Saccharomyces cerevisiae S288C: one gene and its partners. The protein of the gene in region 1 purifies or fractionates together with the protein of each later gene. This does not show direct contact. Each region holds a gene or a part of one and is shown in the gene's direction. Other genes may lie near its edges. The genes, in order: HAS1, NOP2, TIF6 and NUG1.

Region 1 (5,010 bases):
CAAAAGTAGAATTCTTTTTCACGAGGCCTGACTTGGATGATGATAAAGAAGTACCGTTTTTGTTAGCGTGAAGATAGTCGAATGTGCCTGCAGGCTTAAGAGATGTCATGGATAATGTTTTCTTCAGAGTGTCTCGAATTCTATTCAATGATCTTTCACGAGAATTAATGGTTCTATCAACGTAAAGGTCAGGCAAATCCATCTTGCTGCTGAAGGCGGTGGAAGTTTCAGAGGACCCGCCATCCATATTTAAATACGCTAGAGTAGTTGTCTTTCTTGATTTGGAAGGAGACCTCAATGTGTGCATGGACGCTGTAGAAGATACCCTTCTTATTGTTGGATGAAAGGAGAAATTCGGCGTGTCCTTAGTATTCAAAGAATTTGAAGTAGCAAAATAATCCTTAATAAAGGGATGCTGTTTCAAATTCTTAGCAGAACGCCTAACGGCCGGGTCAATAGTAAAACAGCATTGAACAAAATTCCAAAATTGTTCGTATTTAGGGTCGTGCATCATTTGTTCGTCGACGTAATAGTCACATTTTGAAATACATTCCAGAGTTTCGTCGTCTGTGGTACAGTCAAAGGGCGTATAGCCGAAGGCCATGAAATATGTCAGTACACCAAGGGCCCATATATCCACCGGACAACCATACTTGTCTAGTTTGCCAACTTGATCAGGAGTCATTTCACCGACACCTTTGCACTTGACGATTTCTGGAGCAATATACGAGATGGTTCCAACAAACTCCTTTAACGAGTTTACCTTACTTGTGTTATATTCAGCAGCAAGACCAAAATCGGCGAGAACTAGGTCGTGTGCCAAGAGATCGTATTTGAAATCTCCGTGGTGTTCACCCTGTAGGTTTTTTTCGTTTTCGTTCACTCTCAATCTGAATAAGACGTTTTCTGCTTTCAAGTCTCTATGAACAATACCTTGAGAATGCAAAAACTCGAGAACGCTCACCAAACAGGCGCAGTACGAGGTAACTTGAGTTTCGAGGTCTAAACACTGATTTTCAACAATTTTTTCATACAAATCTCCCTTCTGACACAGCTGAGTGATCAGGACAATGTTATCTGCCGTCTCAAAATAGTCGAAAAGTTGTAAAATATGGTGATGCCCCTCAAAAATGTCCAAAGAATGTTCATTCTTTTTTTCCATATCTCTGATTTTCTCGCTTATTGACCTCAAAAGGTCGAACTCTCTTTGAATAAGTTGAATTTTGTTCTTGACAGTTTGTTTCTTAATAAGCTTCATCGCGTACAAATCCTTTGTGTGTATATTCATACATTCTTTCACGACGCTAAAATTCCCATCGCCCAAGGAGTTGTGGTTGGTTACGTATTTACATTTGAAGGTTTGAGCGTCTGCATTGCTGCCACTCAGTTGCGGCCAAGGTTTTTCTTCCGGCAGGCGCTGTTGTAGCTGGGAAGCAGAAGAACTAGCTGTAGTCATATCCTGGATGTGTATTTTTCTTTTTGAACTGTTGTAATGTCAATTGTATGAAAATATCGCGGTTTGGCTGAGACAGTCGTGGTAGGTAACTGAAGGAGCAAACAAGAAATTAATAAATAAACAAGTTAGCAAAACAAATAAAAAAACTGTCACTCTAAATAGAAAGAAGTAAAGAAGCAGAAGAAGTCATCCCCGTTCGACACGTTTTCATATTCTGAGTACATGATAAACCCCGCCCTCTTTTTCTTTTTTTAGGAATCCCCCTTTCTATTGTCAGAACAAGAAAGCGGTGTTGGAATTCAAGCAGCTTTTTTTTTTTCTTTTCGTCATACAGTTTCTTTTTCAGGAGTCTTGGTAGCACCCCACCCGTGGAATCGGCGGAATAACCTAACACGTGGAGGTTTTTCCGAGGTGCCAAAAAAGGAAAAACAAAGAGAAGCTGAAATCGGAATTTGAAGAATAGCGTGGGGGGGAGGGGGTTATTCAAGGAGCGCCTGTACCGGCAACGATAGCTTCGGCGGCTAAGATGGCAAACCTAATAGATGTATGTAAAAACATGGATGATAGCAGGCGGTGAACAGCCATGGTAATTTTAGGGAGTGCAAAAGTTATATGTAAGGCTATATCTGTATCAGTTAACAGGGGTGGAAAATGATTTGATAGGCGCAATATGTTTATTGGTAAAAGAGCATCTTAAACCACTTCATTCCATTTCTCACTATCACAAGTGATATATTATGTGTATTTTGCAATCCATGACGCTTTAATGCTTTACAAAGCGCTGCTACTTCTATTTTCTTAACGTAAAGAGGAGTGTATGACGACTAAGAATTGTTTACCCGGCGAGAGTCGATTCTTCGTTACCCGAATTGAAAATTTTTTATTTGCTTTTTCTTTTTTTTTTTTTTTTTTTTTTCAATATTAGCTTTAGCGATGAGATGAGATTTTATAGTGTATACACGGTACTTGAGTACATAGCTATTGGATAACTGTATACTATAATAATTAGATAAGCTGAGCAATATTAACAGGAGAAGTATGGCTACCCCGTCAAATAAACGTTCTAGAGATTCTGAATCTACAGAAGAACCTGTAGTAGATGAAAAGAGCACTTCAAAACAAAACAATGCCGCACCTGAGGGAGAACAAACTACTTGTGTGGAAAAGTTCGAAGAACTAAAGTTATCACAGCCAACTTTAAAGGCCATTGAAAAGATGGGATTTACCACTATGACTTCTGTTCAGGCAAGGACTATCCCACCTCTTTTGGCCGGTAGGGATGTTCTTGGTGCTGCCAAGACAGGTTCTGGTAAAACTCTAGCGTTTCTCATCCCTGCTATTGAACTATTGCATTCTTTGAAATTCAAACCAAGAAATGGTACCGGTATAATTGTCATTACGCCTACAAGAGAGTTGGCTTTACAGATTTTTGGAGTGGCAAGAGAGTTAATGGAATTCCATTCACAGACATTTGGTATTGTCATTGGTGGTGCAAATAGAAGACAGGAAGCCGAAAAATTGATGAAAGGTGTTAACATGTTGATTGCTACCCCTGGAAGATTATTGGATCACTTACAAAATACAAAAGGATTTGTATTCAAGAACTTGAAGGCTTTGATTATCGATGAAGCGGACAGAATCTTAGAAATTGGGTTTGAAGATGAAATGAGGCAGATAATTAAGATCTTGCCAAACGAAGATAGGCAATCCATGTTATTTTCAGCTACACAAACGACCAAAGTTGAGGATTTGGCTAGAATCTCGCTGAGACCGGGCCCTCTTTTCATTAATGTCGTTCCTGAAACCGACAACTCCACCGCAGATGGATTAGAACAAGGCTATGTGGTATGTGACAGTGATAAGAGATTTTTGTTGTTATTTTCTTTCTTGAAAAGAAATCAAAAAAAGAAAATTATTGTATTTTTATCATCTTGTAACTCTGTGAAATATTACGCTGAATTATTGAACTATATTGATTTGCCAGTCCTCGAATTACACGGTAAGCAAAAACAACAAAAGAGAACAAATACATTTTTCGAATTCTGTAATGCGGAAAGAGGTATCTTGATTTGTACAGATGTCGCAGCTAGAGGGCTAGATATCCCTGCTGTGGACTGGATCATTCAATTCGACCCTCCTGATGATCCAAGAGATTATATTCATAGAGTCGGAAGAACCGCAAGAGGCACTAAAGGTAAGGGTAAATCTTTAATGTTTTTAACACCTAATGAATTAGGGTTTTTAAGATATCTAAAGGCTTCCAAGGTCCCATTAAATGAGTACGAATTCCCGGAAAACAAAATTGCAAACGTTCAATCACAATTAGAAAAATTAATTAAATCCAACTATTATCTACATCAAACAGCCAAGGATGGTTATAGATCTTATTTACAAGCGTACGCTTCCCACTCTTTGAAAACTGTCTATCAAATCGATAAGCTGGATTTAGCCAAAGTAGCAAAGTCTTACGGTTTTCCAGTCCCTCCAAAGGTTAACATTACAATTGGTGCCAGTGGAAAAACGCCAAATACCAAAAGACGTAAAACTCATAAGTAATTTCAGAGGATCAATTTTTAATGCTATTAATGTGTACGTGGAACCAACACAACCGAAGTATTCATCTTCTGTTCTCATCGCACTCCTTTTCCTTTCTCTGCTTCTCCACTGTATGTCATTTAAATAAATGTATAAACCGCTGTTTTCTGTTTGTTGTCTTCTACGTACGTTGTCTGTATCAACCTGCACATATTTGAGTATGTAAAATCATGATTTGTAAACTATTGTAAAAAAACTTCATTGATATGAAAATCTGTCGTCTGCTCAATATTTTGTCTTCACTGTTCCCTTTATGCATCCCATGACGCCATTGAAAAGCAAAACTTCGTTGCCAACGGTAAGGCTTCCTATATCTATATCTCCCTCTTCAATAAGGCCGAGCCGCAATAAATAATGACGCATTGTTCCGCACAAACATCCAGTTGCTAATCTTGGTGTCACATACTTTTTAGAACCGTTAGGATCTTTTTGAATTACAGCCACGTTTGTTATTGAACCTTCCATCAGCAGGCCAGATTTGTTGGAAAATAAAATTTCGCATTGCGAGACAGAAGAAGTAGGTTCTGAACCTCTTAAGTTATTTATAGCAGTTTGCATGCGAACTCTCGCCCTAGCGTAATGATCTCTTGAAGTGGTTTTAAAACTGGTGAAAGCTGATGCGTTCAATGGTTCAGATGAAACAACAACATCCCAATTTATTGTGCTATCAATTAAAAATCCATTGAGCATCGTTTTGATGAAGTATGTGGAAACACTGTCATAATCGGTTGTTAATTTTAGGATAGGCTCCATAGGCATTGGAATTGCCTCAATTCGTATATCTCCTGTCTTAGAGACAAGTACCCGCATTTTATAGCATTGCCTTTCGTTGATCATTTTTTGAATTTTTTCGTGATACTCTGAATTTCCTTCTTTACAATTAATCAAGTTTTCAACCAATAACTTCAATAAATCATTCAGAGACGTGCTGAAGTCAATTTTAAAGTATGATAATGCTA
Region 2 (3,998 bases), on another chromosome or scaffold:
ACCACCTTTCATGGTCATCAGAGGGTGTAGCTTACCCCTTATACTTTGGTACGGCCTACATCTAGTTTCCAAAATTGATGGTGCTAAAAACCTGAGGTCTGAATATAAAGTATGAGCTAATTCCAACAAAGTTTCTTTGAATTGACCATAGCATACAATCGGCCTTGAACCATGGATTTTTTCGGCCAACTTTGGCACTAGTGTTGGTAAATGTAGTGTAGTAGCCATTACAAGACCGTCATATAGGAATTCTCCTGTTAGTTCTAAAATTTGCCATTGTGTATTGTACCATCTGAGTTTTCGGTAGTACGAGTTTTTCTTACCACCTTTTAATGCACGGGCTTCTTCTTTAGGTAATGGTGTAAATCTGCTCTGAATCTCTTGTAGTGTAGGCGGTTCAAAAAAATCTAATAGAGAAATGGTGTGTACATGCTCTTTAATAAATTTCTCAGAATAATTAGCAAACTTCAGCAAATCCAAGTTGGCATGTTCATTTTCGTGAATAACTATGACTTTGCCCTTGGATTTGCTTTCATTGTCACCGCCAAACATTCTTTCCAACAGAAAGTAAACCAATAACCCACCCGTTTCATCCATACAGAGATAGTTGCCTTCTGATTGGATGTTCGCAAGATTTAACAGCATCCCCATCGATTCCTGAGACATATCCAATACCCTTTGGATATCGCCTTTGTCGATTAAGAATTGTAAAAGGTTAGAGCTACTTAAATACTCAACGGTGAAGTACTTGGCGAATTTTTGTTTCTTCCTATTCACATATTTCTCTTGAGAATATACGGTCTTGTTGTGAAAACTTTTGTGAGATTTGATAATTTTGTCGATTATTTCTTTACTAGATAAAGATTCTTGTTTCATTTTTTCAATTTCTTCAACGGTTAACTCTTGGGCCTTGCTGCCCATGTTAACCAGATTCTGATTCGTAGCACTGCTGTCAATGCTAGACAATTCAAGAGACACAGATTTTTCCTTAATAGATAAAGGAGGCTCGCTTTGACCATCGTCTTTATCATTATTGACATCTTTGATCTCCTGCGATAATAGCCTTACTTTCCCGATGGGAATTTTGTTCTTTGGTTTCGAATCTCTATTTTCATCGGATGAAACCTCTTCGCCATCATAATATATCTCGAAAGTCAACCCGAAAGGATAACCAATTATGTCATTAACCTCGAAAGCACCGAATTTTCCTAATGATACAGAGGTGTTGGGCTTTAGTTCCACTATCTTGTAATTTTTTGATGGCAGCCGGACGATAACGTGCTGATTAAAATCTATGGTTGTCAAAGCATTCATTGTGCACTAAATTCAAAGTTTTTTTGTCCAATTCGTTTGCAACAATGTGAGTAGGATCCAACGTGCCAAAGAATTTAAAGTTGAATATTATTATTGTTATTATACACCTCATCGACTTTTTTTTTTTTTTTGATGAAATTTTTCAGATTTTACAAAACCGTTACCCAGTTTCACGTTTTCTGAAAAAAATTTTCATCTCATCGCAGAATAAGTTTAAGATGAGCTGAGCTGCAAATACAGTTGTCGCTAAGGTATATAGATTTGTAATTCTGGCGGAATTCCCCTTGTGTTGGCTAATATTAGAATTACATATACATATAATAGGAAATGGGTAGTAGACGTCATAAGAACAAGCAAGCCGCCCCACCAACCCTGGAGGAGTTTCAGGCAAGAAAGGAAAAGAAGGCTAATAGAAAGCTAGAAAAAGGAAAGAGACCTTCTACCACGCAAGGGGATGAAGTTTCTGATAGAAAGAAAAAGAAGTCGAAGCCATTCAAGAAATCTAGAAAAGAGGAGGAAGAAGTTGTTGAAGAGGATAAGGATTTGCCAGAAGTTGATCTTGAAGAATTATCAAAAGCCAGGAAATCTTTATTTGATGATGAAGAAGATGACGATGAAGCAGGATTGGTGGATGAAGAACTAAAAGATGAATTTGACTTGGAACAAGAATATGATTACGATGAAGATGAAGATAATGACGCCCACCCAATTTTTTCAGATGACGACGATGAGGCTGATCTTGAAGAACTAAATGCACAAAACATGGAAGCTCTTTCTAAGAAACTTGATGAAGAAGAAGCTGAAGAAGCTGAAGAAGCCGAAATGGAGTTAGTGGAAGCGGAGAACATGCAACCAAGAGCAGACATATTGCCCACTGAGGAGCAGGAAGAAATGATGGCACAAGAAACTCCTAATTTAACTTCCACAAGAACAAGAATGATTGAAATTGTAAAGGTTTTGGAAAATTTTAAGACTCTTGGTGCAGAAGGCAGATCGAGAGGAGAATACGTTGACAGACTTTTGAAAGATATTTGTGAGTACTTTGGTTATACACCATTTTTGGCGGAAAAGTTATTCAATCTATTCTCACCAGCAGAGGCGATGGAGTTTTTCGAAGCCAATGAAATTGCAAGACCAATAACCATCAGAACCAACACCTTGAAGACCAGAAGGAGAGACTTAGCTCAAACTCTTGTGAATAGAGGTGTTAATCTACAACCTATTGGTTCTTGGACTAAAGTTGGTCTTCAAATATTCGATTCCCAAGTCCCAATTGGTGCTACGCCAGAATATTTGGCAGGTCACTATATTTTACAAGCGGCATCATCTTTTCTACCAGTTATTGCTCTAGATCCTCATGAAAATGAGCGTATCTTGGATATGGCAGCTGCTCCAGGTGGTAAGACCACTTATATATCAGCTATGATGAAAAACACAGGTTGTGTTTTCGCTAACGACGCCAATAAATCTAGAACAAAATCTTTAATTGCTAATATCCACCGTCTAGGCTGTACCAACACTATTGTATGCAATTACGATGCCCGTGAGTTCCCTAAGGTAATTGGAGGTTTTGACAGAATTTTACTGGATGCCCCATGTTCCGGTACTGGTGTTATCGGTAAGGATCAATCTGTCAAGGTGTCTCGTACCGAGAAGGACTTCATTCAAATTCCACATCTACAAAAACAATTGCTTCTATCCGCCATTGATTCTGTTGATTGCAACTCGAAACATGGTGGTGTAATAGTATATTCGACATGTTCTGTTGCAGTGGAAGAGGACGAAGCTGTCATAGACTATGCATTGAGAAAAAGACCGAATGTCAAGTTAGTCGATACTGGTTTAGCGATCGGTAAAGAAGCGTTTACTAGTTACAGAGGCAAAAAGTTTCATCCTAGTGTGAAATTAGCGAGGAGGTACTATCCACATACGTACAACGTCGATGGGTTCTTTGTCGCTAAATTCCAAAAGATCGGTCCATCTTCGTTTGATGATAACCAAGCAAGTGCAAAAGAAAAGGAAACTGCTGCTAGAAAGGAAGCTTTGGAAGAAGGTATCATTCACTCTGACTTCGCAACCTTCGAGGACGAAGAAGACGATAAGTACATTGAAAAGTCTGTGAAAAACAATCTTTTGAAAAAGGGTGTCAATCCAAAAGCTAAAAGACCTTCTAACGAAAAATAAGTTCCCACAAACGTAGTGGCATCATGTTAGCATAGTTTTCTCTCTCTAATCTTTCTCTGTCTACATATATATATATATATATATATATCAATTTCAAATATGTCTCACTGTATATTAAATTCAAAATAGAAATAATAAAGCCGATTTGTAAACAGCACTAAGAAAAAAGGCGATGATATTACTTATTAATATTCGTTGCCAATATAGTATTACATATATCTCTATTTATTTCTCTTTTTTTGTTTTTAAGGCGTTTCAGTTTGCTGTCTCCTTAGTCTTCAAAATACTTCGTATTCCCTAACTTATGCTCTTTGATGTACTCTGGACCGTACTCTTCGTATTCTTTCTTACTGATAACTGTTTTCCTATACTGTTCTTCGTTTCGTGCTAGAGCTGCCATACCCTTCCAGGCATCCAATGAAGGATCTGAAGACATATTTACAGTGATATTGGTACCGGTAGGAAGGAATCCAGTGAATTCCTTCACAATACGTTCTTTC
Region 3 (4,408 bases), on another chromosome or scaffold:
CTTTAGCTCTTTTTTCTTTTTCTCTTCTTGTCGTAATAACTCTTTTCTGTGTTTCTCTTCTGCACGTTGCTGCTTTTTTAGTTCCTTTTCTCTTTTAGCTTCTTCCTTTTTCGATGAGGAAAGTTCTCTCTTAGAGCATGGAGAAGAGCTTCTGCTTTTTGTCTCGATAGCTATTATATTTCCATTGGGTACTTGTTTGTTGGTGTTTCTATCGTATTTTGTACTTTGTATGGGTGAATTTTTGTAGCATAAAAGCTTGTCTTCAGCATTGGCCTTCTTAGGTGTCGTTTTCATTTCATCTGCACACTCTTTATTGATGCTTTTCATGGTTTCTTGTTTAACAGTTTCTATCATAGGTCCACTGACATCCTCTTTAGGATCATCTAGAGTGATGACATCCTTCTCTTTCGTGAGAAACTTATTACTCTTTACCGTAGTTGTATTCTGGAAAAAAGATAGTATGCCTTTTTTCTTAGTGTCGTCCTGTAGAGGAATTGATTTGAGATGTTGCTCCATTTTCCCTTTTCCTTTCGATTCTCTTCTGTCTTGAGGTTCACTAAAACATATAATTCTCTGTAACAGCAATAACAGAATGTTCTTCTCCTCAACGAATTGGCTGGAAAAATGATGTATTTCAAGAAGTGGAACCAATAAGAATTTTATTTTTTAGTCAGTTCGCAAACCTTTTGGTTTAACGATGTAGATCTTTCTTTTTTTCAGTTGAAGCCTTTCACGCGTCCGAACGCGTGAGCATATATGCAAGCCGTCTGACACTATAGATCGCGCCAGGTAGGGAACCACTTGATCCAGCACGATGAGCCCGACAACTCAAAACTCCCTTCTTCTGTATCAAAATACTTTTCAGCATATCCATATCATTCTTCCTTTCTCTTCGTAAAGGCTGACTGGGCGCCGGGGACCCGCTAGTTTAGTAGTACTGTGAATATCGTCATTGTCGTACTGAACGATTATATATCGATCATTTTAATTAATGAAGTACATATCAAAAACTTGACTGGTATGAGTAGAAAGTTCAATTAAAAGGGCTGGAAAAATGGGGGAATAACAGAGAACATGAGCAAGGCTACGTGTTCCTTTGAGGGCTGTCATAGTGCAGTTATTACCATCAACGATGATAACATAATAAACTTACCAGAGCAGGTGCACAGCGAATTCAAGTTGCTGGAAAACAGAACTATGCGAGATGCTACCCCCAGCGAGAGCAACTTCTTGGTCGTCCCTGATGTTTGGGACTTTGATAATGTTGGTGTATCTAGAGAAATTCCTTCTTCTATATTAGGGGATTTGAGTGATAAGAGTGATTTTGTCTTTGAGTATGGTAATTCCAGCTGGAAGATTAAAAAGTGCTTGAAATATTTGATATGCGCTGATTGTGATAAAGGTCCTATTGGAATAATATGTAAGGTGCAAGATCAGACAAAGAATGAAGAAAGAGTTTTGCATCTACTAAGCTTGCGAAGCCTTCAAATTATGGGAAGGAATTAGTTTGGTAGGCACTAGAACAAAAATAGGTTGCCGCCACCAGAAAAAAAAAAGAGTAACCAACCACCTATTTCACTGGCATGGGCCACCTATAACAAGCTATAGAAGTAGTTCTGGTTTACATTACTAGCATCACTTTATGTAATAATATAGGCATTCTGGACGAAATCCTAATGGATGAGCATTACCCGTTTTTTCCGAGGGCCAAACGAAAATTTTCGGAAAATTTTTATTAATTAAAGATTTAAACCCATATTCCTTTGTGCAGATTTTTTCTTTTACTGTATGTAACGCAATATTCAATATTGCATAATTAAAAGAAGCCTCATCCCTCGTTGGTCTTATAGTATAATTACAAGAAGCAATACGACAGAGTATTTGGAACAAGAGCATAATTCAACTAACTCTAGAAAACAATAATGGCTACCAGGACTCAATTTGAAAACTCCAATGAAATCGGTGTATTCTCCAAATTAACGAATACTTACTGTTTGGTTGCTGTTGGTGGTTCTGAAAACTTTTACTCTGCATTTGAAGCTGAATTAGGAGATGCTATTCCCATCGTTCATACCACTATTGCTGGTACGCGTATCATCGGTAGAATGACCGCGGGTAACCGTAGAGGTCTGCTAGTTCCAACCCAAACTACTGATCAAGAATTACAACATTTAAGAAATAGTTTGCCGGATTCCGTTAAGATTCAAAGGGTAGAGGAAAGACTATCTGCCTTGGGTAACGTCATCTGTTGTAATGATTACGTTGCTTTAGTGCATCCAGATATCGACAGAGAAACTGAAGAATTGATAAGTGATGTACTAGGCGTTGAGGTCTTCCGTCAAACCATATCAGGTAATATCTTAGTTGGGTCATATTGTTCTTTAAGTAATCAAGGTGGGTTAGTGCATCCACAAACAAGTGTCCAAGATCAAGAAGAATTGTCCTCCTTATTACAAGTTCCTTTGGTGGCTGGTACCGTTAACCGTGGTAGTTCAGTTGTCGGTGCCGGTATGGTTGTGAACGATTACTTGGCAGTTACAGGTCTGGATACTACAGCCCCAGAATTGAGTGTTATTGAAAGTATTTTCCGCTTGCAAGATGCCCAACCAGAATCCATTTCAGGTAACCTACGTGATACTTTGATTGAAACCTACTCATAGATGTCAGGTACTCCTGAGGGGATTCCCCTCCTTCCTCAAGTCTGTTTACAGTTGTATGCGAAAGAGTCCCCATGTTGCAATAATCTTCTTACGTATCATTTGTGGTATTTTTTTTGGTATAACAAATATTTTTTCTTAGGTTTCTATGCATTTTAATTTTAGTTGTATGTATATTATGTACTCTTTTATTTTTTTTTTTTTTCTTATACCTATGGGTGACTATTCATTGCAGTTTAAGTAGGCGTCTTAATTGTAACATGTAGTCACTTTGTTCGAAGCATATGTAACGGGTTTCTAAGCAAATTCTTTGCATAATATGGATTTTCCGTCCGCTTCTCCGACTATTCTGACAACTTGCTCAGTTCCAAGTATCTGTTAGACAATATAGAACTTCTCCAAGAAAAATTGCACCGCACGTAGACCATTTGAAGGCTTTTTTGTCTAGCTGCTAGGACATACTATTGTCTCCACCAGAACCCGGAGAGTAGTATCTCTTGGCAAAGATTAATAAAATCGAACAAAGCTAATAGAACACCGGGGGTTGTGCGGTAAGATTTTCACAAGCGGTACAGAAGTGAGCCGTAAAATTATATATATATATATATATATATGGTGTACAACAAGTCAGCCGTCCATTTATGTGCTATCAAGCGAACTACGTTTCATCTCTTCAACTTGGTAGTTCTTGAGATATAAACACCCTGATCCATCGTACTCACTGAAATAGCAACAACTCCCTGAGTTCCATTGCCACGCATACCCACTCTCATATCCAGAAACAGCTAGTATTTCGATGTTTTTCCGCTCGAAGAAACTTCCGTAGTATTGTTGAGGTGTTGGGGGCATCGTTCCTTTTCGTACGCCAAAAATTCTTCCTCTATTGTTTCCAGAAAATCGTTGCAAAAAAATAAGTCCGCCACGCTGTTTTCTGTGACAACTCTATCTGGAGCCTTCACTAATGGTTTAAAAGGCACGATTTCCACAGAAAGTTTCGCAGCACTTGTTTGTACAAGGAGCGTAAAGCACCGGAAATCTTTTCCCACTGAAACCCTAAATATGAACGGCATTTGGTTGCCATGAGATACAGTCCCAAGAATTCTTTATATTATATAAGCGCTAGTTGTTGTCGCTCTTTTGACCTCATTGGTAGATATTTCAAATTACAAAATTATAATTGTTTTCTTGGTCCAACTTTTTTCTTCTTTTTGGAGGGCATTGCAAGGATCCAATACGATAAGCAAACGTCTTCATTGACCCGTTTCTAACTTTTAATATACATAAATTTTCATCTTCAACACTAATTAAATGTGGAGAACAAAAACGCTAGAATCTATGCTTTGTAGCCCAATGAAATGTTCATCGTCTAACATAGGGGGATCCTATGCGCAATCTTCAAAGGAAGTCTCGAACACGACCAAAAGGGAAGTGCATCTTCCACCTTGTTCGTCGATTATGCACGCTCCACTTACTCCTGAAATAAACCAGGCCGCACTACCACCTCCCGCTTACCATTACGCACCTTCTTCTCTGCATCAGACAGAGGATCCCGTATGGAGATCAAGTCCCAACTCTATTATCTTTTCGCCGGTTATAGCAACACCGCAACCTTTCCCTTTAACGTTCGTTGAACGTCAATCTTGTTGCCCTATTTATTCAACGGCAGCTTCCTCTTATACTGCCCAATCTGTACCTCCATCAATGCAGCATTTTCAGGAGGAAAACCACAGAGCGGTGAGCAACGAGCAGTA
Region 4 (4,972 bases), on another chromosome or scaffold:
GATCGGTTTGGTATCGTCATAGATGCAGGGTCTTCGGGTTCGAGAATCCATGTGTTTAAGTGGCAGGACACGGAATCGCTTCTTCATGCAACAAACCAGGACTCACAGTCCATATTACAATCAGTACCTCATATTCATCAAGAAAAAGACTGGACTTTTAAGCTGAATCCAGGCTTGTCGAGTTTTGAAAAAAAACCTCAAGATGCGTACAAATCTCACATCAAGCCGTTACTAGATTTTGCTAAGAATATTATCCCTGAATCACATTGGTCGAGTTGTCCCGTTTTTATTCAAGCAACCGCGGGCATGCGCCTTTTACCTCAAGACATACAATCTTCCATTTTGGATGGTTTGTGTCAGGGGCTCAAACACCCTGCAGAATTTTTGGTTGAGGATTGCTCAGCACAAATTCAAGTCATTGATGGTGAAACCGAAGGTTTATATGGCTGGCTTGGCTTAAACTATCTATATGGACACTTTAATGACTATAATCCAGAGGTCTCTGACCATTTTACATTTGGGTTTATGGACATGGGCGGTGCCTCTACTCAGATTGCGTTTGCACCGCATGATTCAGGAGAAATAGCTAGACATAGAGATGACATCGCCACCATCTTCTTGAGGAGTGTTAACGGAGATTTGCAGAAATGGGACGTTTTTGTTAGTACGTGGTTAGGGTTTGGTGCCAATCAGGCTAGAAGAAGGTACTTGGCTCAGTTGATCAATACCCTTCCAGAAAACACAAATGATTACGAAAATGATGACTTCTCTACAAGGAACTTGAATGATCCATGTATGCCGCGAGGAAGCAGCACGGATTTTGAATTTAAAGATACCATATTTCACATCGCGGGTTCTGGGAATTACGAACAATGTACAAAATCTATTTATCCGTTACTTTTAAAGAACATGCCTTGTGATGACGAGCCGTGCTTGTTTAATGGTGTTCATGCTCCTCGAATAGACTTTGCCAATGACAAATTTATAGGTACTTCTGAGTACTGGTACACTGCCAACGACGTATTCAAACTTGGGGGCGAATACAACTTTGACAAATTTAGCAAAAGCCTAAGGGAGTTTTGCAATTCCAATTGGACGCAAATATTAGCGAACAGTGATAAAGGCGTGTATAATTCTATTCCGGAGAATTTTTTGAAAGATGCATGCTTTAAGGGCAATTGGGTCCTTAATATACTTCATGAAGGGTTTGATATGCCTCGAATAGATGTCGACGCAGAAAATGTCAATGACAGGCCCTTATTTCAAAGTGTGGAAAAAGTCGAAGAACGAGAGTTATCGTGGACACTAGGCAGAATTTTACTTTATGCCTCAGGTAGCATATTGGCAGGTAATGATGACTTCATGGTGGGTATTGCGCCCAGTGAAAGAAGAACTAAGCTCACTGGTAAGAAATTCATACCTGGCAAGTTACTGGAGTCTGATCAACTACGCAAGCAAAGTTCCAGCCTTTCTAATAAAGGATTTTTGATGTGGTTCGCAATTATTTGTTGCATATTTTACTTGATCTTTCATAGGTCACACATAATCAGAAGACGTTTTTCCGGTCTGTACAACATTACCAAGGACTTTAAGACAGGCATAAGGAGAAGGTTGAAATTTCTAAGGAGATCAGATCCATTTTCCAGATTGGAGGAAGGTGAACTTGGAACAGACGTAGATGGCTTCAAAGATGTGTACAGGATGAAGAGTAGCAGTATGTTTGATCTTGGTAAGAGTTCAGCCACAATGCAAAGGGAGCACGAACCACAAAGGACAGCAAGTCAGTCCGCTAATCTCGCTCCGTCAAACTTACGACCTGCGTTTTCTATGGCTGATTTTTCCAAATTTAAGGACAGTAGGCTATATGATTGAATGTGGTGGTGTATGTGCCATAAATAGAAGCGCATATACTTCTCACATAAATATATGTATATATCTAGTGAGGTGCCATAGTATTGCATTAACAGTGATTCACGTCACTCTAAACGTCGCTTCTGTTTTTTTTTTGAAATTTTTTTCTCACAGCTGCTGAAAATTTTCGAGCGAGGCGATGAGATGAGCTAATTATATCAAGAGGGAATTGTACTAGTAATACTTTGGTACACACAAGAACAAGCATATAGGTATACAGTCACGACTATAATATCATAAAATGAGAGTCAGAAAGCGCCAATCTAGAAGAACATCTACCAAGTTGAAGGAAGGTATTAAGAAGAAGGCTTCTGCCCATAGAAAAAAGGAAAAGAAGATGGCTAAGAAGGACGTTACTTGGAGATCAAGGTCTAAGAAAGACCCTGGTATTCCTTCTAACTTTCCTTATAAGGCTAAGATCTTAGAAGAAATAGAAGCCAAAAAAATGAAGGACTTAGAGGAAAGAGAGCTTGCCAAACAACAACGATTGGAGGCTAGGAAAGCTGCCAAGGAACAAGGCGTTGATGCAATGGATGAAGACATGATAGAAGACGATGAAAATGGATTAGCAGCTTTGGTTGAGTCTGCTCAGCAAGCAGCTGCTGAATATGAGGGCACACCCTCTAATGATGCAGATGTTCGTGATGATGAATTGGACGTCATTGATTATAACATTGATTTCTACGGTGAAGATGTAGAAGGCGAGTCAGAACTTGAAAAATCTAGGAAAGCTTATGACAAGATTTTCAAATCCGTTATTGATGCTTCTGATGTCATCCTATATGTTTTGGATGCCAGAGATCCAGAGAGTACAAGATCAAGAAAGGTGGAAGAAGCCGTCTTACAAAGTCAGGGTAAAAGGCTGATTTTAATACTGAACAAAGTTGATTTAATTCCCCCACATGTATTGGAACAATGGTTAAATTACTTAAAGTCTAGTTTTCCTACAATCCCATTAAGAGCTTCTTCTGGTGCAGTCAACGGAACTTCTTTCAACAGAAAGCTAAGCCAAACCACTACTGCAAGTGCACTGCTAGAGTCGCTGAAAACTTACTCTAATAACAGCAATTTGAAGAGATCTATTGTAGTGGGTGTTATCGGTTATCCAAATGTTGGTAAATCATCTGTTATCAACGCTCTTTTGGCGCGCCGTGGAGGTCAATCAAAGGCTTGCCCAGTCGGTAATGAAGCAGGTGTTACTACCTCTCTGAGAGAGATCAAAATCGACAACAAGTTGAAGATTCTAGATTCTCCTGGTATATGTTTCCCAAGCGAAAATAAGAAAAGATCGAAAGTTGAACATGAAGCTGAATTAGCTCTTCTAAATGCTCTACCGGCAAAACACATTGTTGATCCGTATCCAGCTGTCTTAATGTTGGTAAAGAGACTAGCTAAATCAGATGAAATGACAGAGAGCTTTAAAAAGCTGTATGAAATTCCTCCTATTCCTGCTAATGATGCAGATACGTTTACAAAACATTTCTTAATTCACGTCGCTCGTAAAAGAGGTAGATTAGGGAAAGGCGGTATTCCAAATCTTGCCAGTGCTGGTCTTTCGGTACTTAATGACTGGAGGGATGGTAAAATTCTTGGTTGGGTTTTACCAAATACATCGGCAGCTGCATCTCAACAAGATAAACAAAATCTAAGTACTATAAACACTGGCACTAAACAAGCTCCAATTGCAGCAAATGAATCCACCATTGTATCCGAGTGGTCCAAAGAATTTGATTTGGATGGATTATTTAGCTCTCTTGACAAGGCCATAGATGCTAGCAAAGATCAAGATACAATGATGGAATAAATAAGTCATATGTAAGGCTATTTTTATGTAAGGGGTGTTTCTTATTTTTTCTTTATCATCAAATAACATTACTGTAAATTATAGGTGTGCTTTTAAACTCATTACTATACATCTTATTTTTTTTAGTTTTACTGCCTTTTTGCTCTTTGGACAAAGAAATCATTAAAAAGTTCCAACTTTTATTATGTTTCATATATAAGATATACAAAATATAAAATGCAAAACGAATTTCAGAGATAGCATGACTTATGAAATTGGGGACAGACTCAAGATTGGTGGATATTTTTGCACCATCAAATTCATAGGTGTTATTAAGCCGTGGCCTTCGGTAAAAGCTTATGGGGTGGAATGGGACGATCACAGCCGGGGAAAACATTCTGGAACAATAGATGACATACACTATTTTGACGTTCAAATTCCTAATTCAGGATCATTTTTGAAGGAGTCTAAGATTAAATCTCCAGGTGTACGCAGAATTACGTTTTACGAAGCATTGTCAGAAAAGTATGGAGGCTCGAGTAATAACATTAATGACCTATCTATAGGTAACAAAAGGGTTGAGGGTTTGGGATTCGATGAACTAAATGCGAGAAATAAGAATTATAAGAAGTTAAGAAAAATAGCTTTGCGAGATTCCGATGTCGCTATATTGTTTCAAAATCAAGATGAGTTAAACCGTGTAATACAAAATTGTGTGAACGTCAAGGACCTTGATTTATCGCTTAATCTATTCACGAATATCAACTCTTTATGTGAGTTCATAGAACCTTTGAAGAACTTGGAGAGCCTTAATATATCTCAAAATAAACTTTTAAGCGGTTGGGACAACTTGAAAGAATATGACCTATCACACATCAAAACTTTACGTCTGTCTTCCTGTGGTTTAAGTTATAAACATATTGGTAAGCTGCTCAAAAGCTTCAGGACACTGAAAATGTTGGATTTAAGCTATAACAACTTGACCAGTGCGGGAATCCAAAATTTTGAGAATGAAATACCGTGTACTTTGGAGGAACTGAATATTAGCGGAAATAATCTTATATCGTTTCCATTGTTTCCAAAAAATTTGACATTGAAAGGTTTAAATGTCTCCAATAATCAAATTTCTAGAGCACCAAGTATTGCTATTTATTCTGTTGAATCCTTGGATATAACAGATAACAAATTTAAGGAAAGAAGTTTGATAGATGATTTGAATAAGACATTTCCCTCTTTGAAAAATATCCATCTGAGTGGCAACGAATTCAACTACAACGG

Evidence for each region.
Region 2: the proteins of HAS1 (region 1) and NOP2 purify together in Saccharomyces cerevisiae (affinity purification with mass spectrometry; 7 studies listed by BioGRID, with this or other methods). This does not show direct contact.
Region 3: the proteins of HAS1 (region 1) and TIF6 purify together in Saccharomyces cerevisiae (affinity purification with mass spectrometry; 5 studies listed by BioGRID). This does not show direct contact.
Region 4: the proteins of HAS1 (region 1) and NUG1 purify together in Saccharomyces cerevisiae (affinity purification with mass spectrometry; 9 studies listed by BioGRID, with this or other methods). This does not show direct contact.

Annotation. Positions count from the first base shown.
Region 1 is NC_001145.3:849,076-854,085, reverse strand, and holds HAS1 (ATP-dependent RNA helicase HAS1), read left to right. Parts: upstream 1-2,494; coding exon 2,495-4,012; downstream 4,013-5,010. Other genes in the region: protein kinase TDA1, read right to left, coding at 1-1,456; aminodeoxychorismate lyase ABZ2, read right to left, coding at 4,277-5,010. UniProt on the Saccharomyces cerevisiae protein: ATP-dependent RNA helicase involved in 40S ribosomal subunit biogenesis. Required for the processing and cleavage of 35S pre-rRNA at sites A0, A1, and A2, leading to mature 18S rRNA.
Region 2 is NC_001146.8:508,899-512,896, forward strand, and holds NOP2 (rRNA (cytosine-C5-)-methyltransferase NOP2), read left to right. Parts: upstream 1-1,641; coding exon 1,642-3,498; downstream 3,499-3,998. Other genes in the region: tRNA 1-methyladenosine methyltransferase subunit GCD10, read right to left, coding at 1-1,314; actin-related protein ARP5, read right to left, coding at 3,770-3,998. UniProt on the Saccharomyces cerevisiae protein: S-adenosyl-L-methionine-dependent methyltransferase that specifically methylates the C(5) position of cytosine 2870 (m5C2870) in 25S rRNA. Required for 60S ribosomal subunit synthesis and processing.
Region 3 is NC_001148.4:590,584-594,991, reverse strand, and holds TIF6 (translation initiation factor 6), read left to right. Parts: upstream 1-1,922; coding exon 1,923-2,660; downstream 2,661-4,408. Other genes in the region: RLF2 (Rlf2p), read right to left, coding at 1-516; guanine nucleotide exchange factor DSS4, read left to right, coding at 1,075-1,506; YPR015C (uncharacterized protein), read left to right, coding at 3,966-4,408. UniProt on the Saccharomyces cerevisiae protein: Binds to the 60S ribosomal subunit and prevents its association with the 40S ribosomal subunit to form the 80S initiation complex in the cytoplasm. Is also involved in ribosome biogenesis.
Region 4 is NC_001137.3:160,571-165,542, forward strand, and holds NUG1 (RNA-binding GTPase NUG1), read left to right. Parts: upstream 1-2,152; coding exon 2,153-3,715; downstream 3,716-4,972. Other genes in the region: YND1 (apyrase), read left to right, coding at 1-1,872; PAC2 (Pac2p), read left to right, coding at 3,957-4,972. UniProt on the Saccharomyces cerevisiae protein: GTPase required for 60S ribosomal subunit export to the cytoplasm.